Linked DNA regions of Oreochromis niloticus. The protein of the gene in region 1 purifies or fractionates together with the protein of each later gene. This does not show direct contact. Links are inferred from orthologs where the notes say so. Each region holds a gene or a part of one and is shown on either strand. Other genes may lie near its edges.

Region 1 (3,922 bases):
AAAAGGAAGTACTAAATACAGGGTGGAGGGAAAAAAATAAGTCCTTTAATCCTGGGAGTGTATCTTCATCAGCTGGTTGGAATGCAACGCTTTGCTCTTACACTAGGTGAAAACATTCAATTCCCATTTTGTTTTAAACTGGACCACACCCCCTACCTCTACCTTTGCATGACAACTTCCTTGCAGCACAGCTCTCTCTCCACCAGAGAGATAAGTAGAGAGCAGAGAAAGGCTGCCCTTCACCTAATGCTCTGTTAACGTCCTCACATAATTATAGCCTTCACTGGGTTTGTGCTGTGATTGCATACCACACATGTATCACCCTCATTCTTCTTCAAATGCTATCATAACATGCCAATGAAAAAAAAAAAAATCAACTCTACTTTTGTGTTTATGACATTTACAGGTGTAGCCTTATAACTATAATGACAAGTATCATTTCTGTAATGATACTGGTAGCAAGTCAATGTGGCTACCAACAGATTTTTTCACAGTCTATAACTGCTGAGAGAGACATGCCTCCCAACTCTTGATGACGCACTTCTGTATGAATGTTCAAGCCACACCTCAGATAAGCGTTTCACACAGGCTGTGTGGCTGCTCTGACCTGTTAAAGCAGGTGTGAAAATTGAGGTAAAGCAGTTTGGTCTGGACGTATGAGCTCAAAATAATGCACTAATAATTCAAATAAATGGCAAGACTGAACTTAAATGCTGCACTTTAAAAGAAACACATTATTCACAACATTCACAAGAACATCAACACATTTAAAATATGCCACTGCTGGATTAATAGTCTCACCAATCGTTCTCGGACTCAAAGTAGCAGACAGAGATGAGTCGAGCACCACTGCCCACTGCAAACTTGTTCTCCAATGGAGACCACTTGACGAAGGTGGCCGCTCGGTTGATCCTGAGGATGACCAGTGTGGGCTTCCATACCCCCTCCTTCTGGGACCACACATAGGCATTACGGTCTGCTCCACATGTCACTATGCGGTCACTTTTGGGAGCCCAGTCAATGCCTATAACACAGCCAATAAGCAGTCACTAACAACTCTACTAATAGCTTAGACAAAAAGAAACCCCTTTAGGATCACACAATCCCACCTTAGCTGTGGTTTTACTTGTTAAAGAATTCTTCAGAAACATTAATTTTACTGACATGTTGGGTGAGACATTTAATGTTACGTTTCAGTTCACAAGTAAAAAATGATCAGTCTTAAAAACATCTGATTAACCACCTGTTATGTGGCCATTGTGTTCCTTCAGTTCATGGGTCTTAACCCACTGGTTGCCACTCTTCTTGTAGATATGAACTTCATGGTTATTGGGACTGATGGCAATTTCTGAAGCAAAACAAAACAAAACAGAAGAAACCAGCTGGTTAACACGATGAGCACACAGATAACAAACAAGTTAGACAAGTTTTCTGATACATGCCAAATTCCAACCTGTTACCCAAAATAAACCGAGCCAATCTTATCTCTGTTCAGATGAAATTGCTCTAACAGCATTCTTTGTAATTGTGACCTGACCACCCAATGAAGACAAAGCCTTTAAGACCTTAACCTTGAAATGTGTTGTGTTAAAGTGAGCATTTCTCATAGCTACAGTCTCGGAGCCTTACGTGTCCTGTCGCGGTTCCATGCGTGGCAGGTGATGGGTTCCAACAGAAACTGATGAAGGGACATGTTTGGGTGTGGTCCTTAAGTTGAACTCTGCGAAGCAAAAACACAGCAAAAACTCAGCTTTAGTAACAAACGGCAAACACACTCCCAGCTAGCAGGAGACCAGAACGATGTCTCGGTAGACTTAAAAACTACACACATTACAGCATACATACTGGAAGCTGCTGGTTCACTGCTCACATAGGACAGCTAGTTAACTGTTAACTTTTAAAGCAACCTAACCTAACTCGTAATGTACGTGTTAGCCGCTGGCTTGGATTCTTTAGATAAACCCTGTCACCAAGAAGCTTTCTTTACTAGTTTCTCTTAAATAATGATTGCAAATTAACGTTAGCAAGCTGACTTTCACTTAAGTCCTTTTTTGCCCCAAACAGACGTACAACATTCTTCTAAACCAGTACGGACTTGCTAAGCTAGCTCCGGTAATATTACCATTACTAGGTCAGCTGCTTCACTCGGTAAATTAACATTAGCAAAACGTTACTAGCAAGTCAATCAAATTGCTAGCTCACAGTTCGCCGGTGTTACACAGGCCTAACAGCAAGATGGGGAATTCTGAGGGATATAATGACAACGACTGTGTCCACACGCTTACCAGAAGGCCTCCTTTCTAAGATTATTTTTTTCCTCGTACAAGAAGCCTTTACTCCCGGTGACAGCTACACCATTAGCCTGTCCATCCCACTAGCCTCCGTATGCTAACTTACCTCGTCAGTCCGGTTCTCCCGAGTGTTGAACTCTTGTTAGCCGGTGAGCTAAGTCACGCTAGCGGGGGGAAAGGTTAGATTAGGAGTGGACCTGAATTCGCGGACTCTGGTCAGTCGACACGAATTCGTCCAGGAATGTTGAGGGGAATGTCAAGACGGCCAGCAGGATACGACCGGGAGCATCTGGTAGCTAAAACTCGGCAGCAAAACCCGTGGATGCCAGGCTGACAGCTAGCTTAGCATCATCACGCTAGCTGTTACATTCAAGTGAATAACCTCGTTCACGTCGCTGGATCTCACGCTACTCCTAGCCCGAGAAGAGCTCCTCTAGTGGCTCACGTACAAACACCCAGAGTGCTTTAAACGGTTACAAAACAGCACAGACTTGTGGCCGCTGTATCAGTGTTGTATTAAACACGACTGGAGGACTTAATCAGGCTTAGAAGGTCTAAGTGTTTTGTCTGATAATGTGTGAATGTGCCAAAACATAGAATCACCGACTCGGTATTAAAAACCAAGTTTTAAATTCATATTTATGGTACTCTGTAAAATTCTTGACCCACCCCTAGTTTCTCTGTATTTAGCTTTTAATGAGACAGATTTTCATGTCATCTTTTTAAAGTGGTCTTGAGCAATAGTGCTCCAGGCTTTTTCTTTGGGCATTGGCTGCTGTTTCACTTATTTTCAGTCTTTGTACCTGATGCCTGATTTTTTTCTTTTTATGAATCCACTTTATGCTGAAAACTTCAAGAATAAAAAAAGCTTCTAAATCAAGGTATGATCAGTGTTGTGTCTAAACTTAACAGATAATTTAGCAAGAAACAATTTTAAATTGTACCTTTAAGCACTGTTACTAGTAGCCTGTCACAAAACACACACACAAATTATTCCAGTTTCTTTAGTTGAAAATATAGAAATTGCCAAAAAGCACAGTTTGAGATGAATTTTCATTTTTTTCAGTATTTTTCCACCAAAGAAGGGATTAACAAAGAGCTCTTAGCTGAAAAATGGCATATCTCTGCATGATAGGCAGTGTGTTCTTAAAATGTTTGAGGAAACTGGACAAGTGAAGGACAAAAGAAGAAGTATGCCTAAAAACCATCTATAGCAGATAAACAGTACCTGATCAAGATGCCATTCTTAAGGAAGAATAAAGGTTGAAGTATGCCAAATTATACAAGAACTGGACAGAAAATCAGTGGCACCAGGTCTTATTGGAGTGATGAATCCAAATGTGAAGCTTTTGGCCAAATCCTCATCAATATGTTGGAAGTCAGTAGAGTCTGTCAAGTATCTGATTGGCATTTTTCAGGCTTCATTTTTCAGCATGACAATGATCACAAACACACTATTAATGCAATAAAAGCATAGATTGGCTCCTCCCTGCAACCCTGATAAGGATAAGCATCTAAAGAAATGAGGAGTGGGTCAATATTTTTGCATAATAGAGCAAATCTGGCCTTACTCATAAAGAACAGATTCTCTTTGGTGTTAAAAAACAAAAAGTGATTTTACTGTGCAAAAA
Region 2 (3,922 bases), on another chromosome or scaffold:
TTCACAGCGGGTTACACAAAATACTGCATGACACAACACACATACACTGAAGTCATTTAAAGAAATGTCATGCAACACATCCAACACTGGCTCATATTATTTGGTCTGATTTAATTTGGAGAACTTCCTTATCCAGACACCAAAAAGGGCACACTCATGATGACGACTCAACTCGGCTGAGAGAGCCATGTTATCAAAACTGTGTGTTAAAATCTAAACATGGTTATTCAAATATATTACAAACGGGGCAAAAATAGCATGCTGCTGCATGAGACGCTCACCTGCAAACGTCACATCGACGGCCTCTGGTTTGGTTCTGCAAGGAGAAAAAGAAACAACATGAGGAGACAAGTTTGTTAAGCCTGCAAAGCTGGTGTTCAATTCACCATCTTAAACACCATCAAAAAAAATAAAGAAACATTGGAGGTAGTGAGGAGGTTTAAGTAGCCTTGATGGTTAAAAAGGGAACAAAAAGGGTCATCGCACCAGTCAAAGCCACACACTTCAAACAAGCTAGCTAGTTATTGCTTTGTTTCCTGTTTGTTACAATTACTGCCACTAGATTCTTAAAAACATTATCATATTTCTATGATTAAAACGATATAAATATTAGAGCCCATCCAAAATAGTTTTTTAAAAATTATACTAATACCGATATTTGGTTTTTTAAAAAGACGATAACATGGTTGACAGGTGTTTCTCCCGTCTTCTTGTTACTTTTAAAATTGGACTTTATTTGCCATCAATACAAACCATTGGCATGAATCAAGCAGCATAAATGTCAACAACTTATATGGCAATAGCTCAACATTGGTCAACAAGGCAATATCAATTGATTCCTATGTTCAGGGGCCTTGCCAAGTCTTAGGAAAGTTTTTGGCCATTTTTAGGGAAATTCTGCCTTTTTAATAAAATAAACAAATGCTCCCAAATTTGCAGACATTATTCTGCAAAAGGAGAAATAAAAAGAACTGTTAGTAGCAGTTGCAGCTGACCAAACTCAATCACTTCCTCTGATAAAACCATAAAAGCTCAACGGTATCGCTAGCTTTACAACGCATGTAGAGTAGTTTAGTAAAGGGTGTCTTCACGGTAAGCTGGTTACTAGTTTGTGAAATACATGGATGGGGAGTTAATCAGAACTGGCCCTCATTATTTCCTCTACATTATAATCTGATCAGGACCTGTTAGTTGCTGTTCAAGTTACAGTACTGTACAATACTGGTATTACTCCCGCTGTCAGCCAAGCACTGGGACACAAATTAATTGCAAGATGAAGCAGCGCGCTTGCTAAAATTCAAAACATTTTAATGTTTTATGTAATCACCTCATGATGGATTCACAACTTTAATGAATCACCTCGACATGACAGTCTCTTTTTAAACAATCTAAGCAATGCCTGGAGAATGCACAGTAGCAAATCAACAGTGTAAAGGTGGATGCTGCAACGACTTGTCCACACGCTCATGCTCTGAGGAGCTACAGCCGCTGGCTGTGCAAAGAGCGCAGACTTGACTCAGCCTGACTACAGGAATGCGGAAGCAGGAGAAACAGAGAGAGATGGGCGATGGTTGGCTATCATTTAGCCACTAAAAGCTTTATGTAGTGCCGCGGAAGGCAAATAAATGGTCTTTATTAAGTCAAAACACCGCGGGCATATAATCTGATCTGCCGTGGTGGAGTGACACCGGAAATGAGCAGATAGTTTGCCTTGACAAACCTGTTGTGTGCGGAAAAAAAGAAAACTGAAATGAAGTCCTCACTTTATTTAAAAATATACAATATATTTTTTTTATGGAGTTACTATAGGCTGTTTGTGATTTTGCATATGACGTTATCAACCAGTGTGGAACAGCTTAATCATTAAAAAAAAGCTTACAAATTAGCTTTATTGCCGCTAGCTCCCTTAAGGCCATGTAACCTTTTAAAAACATTTGCTTCGTATTTATTGGCAGTGCAGTGTAAATATAACCAAAGTATCTATTGTGTGCTTTGTTGTTTTATCTCCAAGGTATGTGGGAGAACCGCCAGGGGAGATGAAATTCAACGGGGTTACAATTTTTGGCACAACACCGCCCGTGCAGACACACCCCGGCTCGTCGAGGCAGAGCAAGAAGCTAACTCTATGTGTATTTCGGCACTTCAAAAAAAATAAATACTCGTTAATACCACATAGCTTAACTGTGTTGAACCTGCTGCACCCGATCTTCCCCGTTTCTTTAAATGAAGCCGTCATCTTCTGTAAGAAGCTAAAGGGGAAGCTAGCAGTGCTAGCCAGGTGTAGCGATGATTTCTCACCCGTTGGATGCGCCGTCGAACTTGAGCGTCAGCGTCTCTTCGATAATGCGGTTATTGATTTCTAACAGGATCATCGCAGCGGACGCCGGTGTCGAGGAAAAAGGGGGGATTAGCGGTGTTGTTTGGTGGGGTTCACCTCTTTGTGTCAAATTCTGCAAATTTTTTTCTGCCCTGACAGACCCGACCGCTTCCGTCGAGGCTACTTCCGCCTGCAACTTCCGCGTATTTTACTCGCAGGGCCCCAATAAGACTGGGGCGTCTAAAATAATGCCTGTAATAAATTCGTAATGACAGTATTTTCTTGGTAAGAAAGAAACAGGTGTCCGCGACTTAATAAGTTTCAGTGGTACATCAGCCACAATTTAGGGCCATACAACTGTACTAATCAGGAAATACTTGTTCATACTTGTTTAAAAAAAAGACTATTTATTTATTAAGAACAGACCGTTGCAGGAGAGAAAGGGAAGGTTTTCATGATGGTAGTGAGACCTGCTGTGGGGCATGGTTTGAAGATGTAAGAGACAAAAAGACAGAAGGCCAAACTTGGTGTGGTAGGAAGGAGAAAATTAGAACTGACATGACATACATTAGAGGGGACAGCTCATGTTGAGTAGTTTGGAGACAAAGTTAGAGAGGCAAGACTGAGCTGGTTTGGACGTGTGCAGAGGAGGATAGTCGATATATTGGACAATGAAAAATGAATATGGAGCTGCCAGGCAGGAAGAAAAGAGGAAACCATATAGATGGTTCATGGATGTTTTTAAGGAGGACAGAAGAGAATGCTGAGTTAGGGTGAAATGGAGGCAGATGATGTGGTGTGGTGACCAGTGGCGGTCCTAGCCTGTTTGTCGAACACTCCCTCTACCACCCCCCCCCCCCCCCCCACACACACACACACACACACACACACACGAAACGCATTAAGGATTGTACATTAACATAAAACTGTTGTTGGAACCATACTGAATTTCACCAGAGAAAAATGCGCACACACACACGGATATGAAGAGAGAGAAAGTATGGATAGTATGCAAACGGCTACCAAACAGCCATTATAATGTGTCATACAATGAGAACAGGACAAATCAACAATTGACAATGACTAATTAATATTATATTATTGTATATATTGTTTGGAGTTTAGTCTGTTACTGTTACTATTTTTACCATTTCTTCTTGGAGCAACTGTAACCCACATTATTTCCTTAGGGATTAAGAAAGTATTCTGATTCTGATTGTTTCAGGATGACCTGCCATTATCCAATGACACATCTGCTTACCTGCATCTTTTGCTTGTTTCTCCTCTTCTTCTTTTCTTTTTTTTCTAAACTGAGCACCTGATGGCTTTGAACTTTTACTTGTCCATCTTCCATTGGTTTTAATTTTGCACTCCAGTATGAACACCCATCCCCCAACCCGAGGATCACCACAACATAACCTAATAGACCTACACCTTAGTTCACAGATTCACTTTGTCTAGGGTTTATTTCTGGGATTTCACACAACCCAGGATTCAAGTCATGAATACATAATGGGCTTGGATTTACAACATTATGATTGAAATGTGCTCTATTTGGAAGTAGCCCCCCCCTTTCGTCGGGTTATGTGTGAGACTTTAAATCAG

What was found.
Region 2: the proteins of arpc1a (region 1) and arpc2 purify together in Homo sapiens (affinity purification with mass spectrometry; 8 studies listed by BioGRID and IntAct, counting the BioPlex papers as one, with this or other methods). This does not show direct contact. The link is inferred for Oreochromis niloticus from reciprocal best matches to the Homo sapiens genes ARPC1A and ARPC2.

What each region holds. Positions count from the first base shown.
Region 1 is NC_031971.2:12,856,655-12,860,576, reverse strand, and holds the start of arpc1a (actin-related protein 2/3 complex subunit 1A), read right to left. Parts: upstream 2,745-3,922; 5' UTR 2,398-2,744; exon of another isoform or gene 2,286-2,397; intron 1,721-2,285; 5' UTR 1,694-1,720; coding exon 1,630-1,693; intron 1,349-1,629; coding exon 1,244-1,348; intron 1,025-1,243; coding exon 802-1,024; intron 1-801. UniProt on the Homo sapiens protein: Probably functions as a component of the Arp2/3 complex which is involved in regulation of actin polymerization and together with an activating nucleation-promoting factor (NPF) mediates the formation of branched actin networks.
Region 2 is NC_031986.2:14,310,158-14,314,079, forward strand, and holds the start of arpc2 (actin-related protein 2/3 complex subunit 2), read right to left. Parts: upstream 2,526-3,922; 5' UTR 2,373-2,525; coding exon 2,299-2,372; intron 317-2,298; coding exon 282-316; intron 1-281. UniProt on the Homo sapiens protein: Actin-binding component of the Arp2/3 complex, a multiprotein complex that mediates actin polymerization upon stimulation by nucleation-promoting factor (NPF).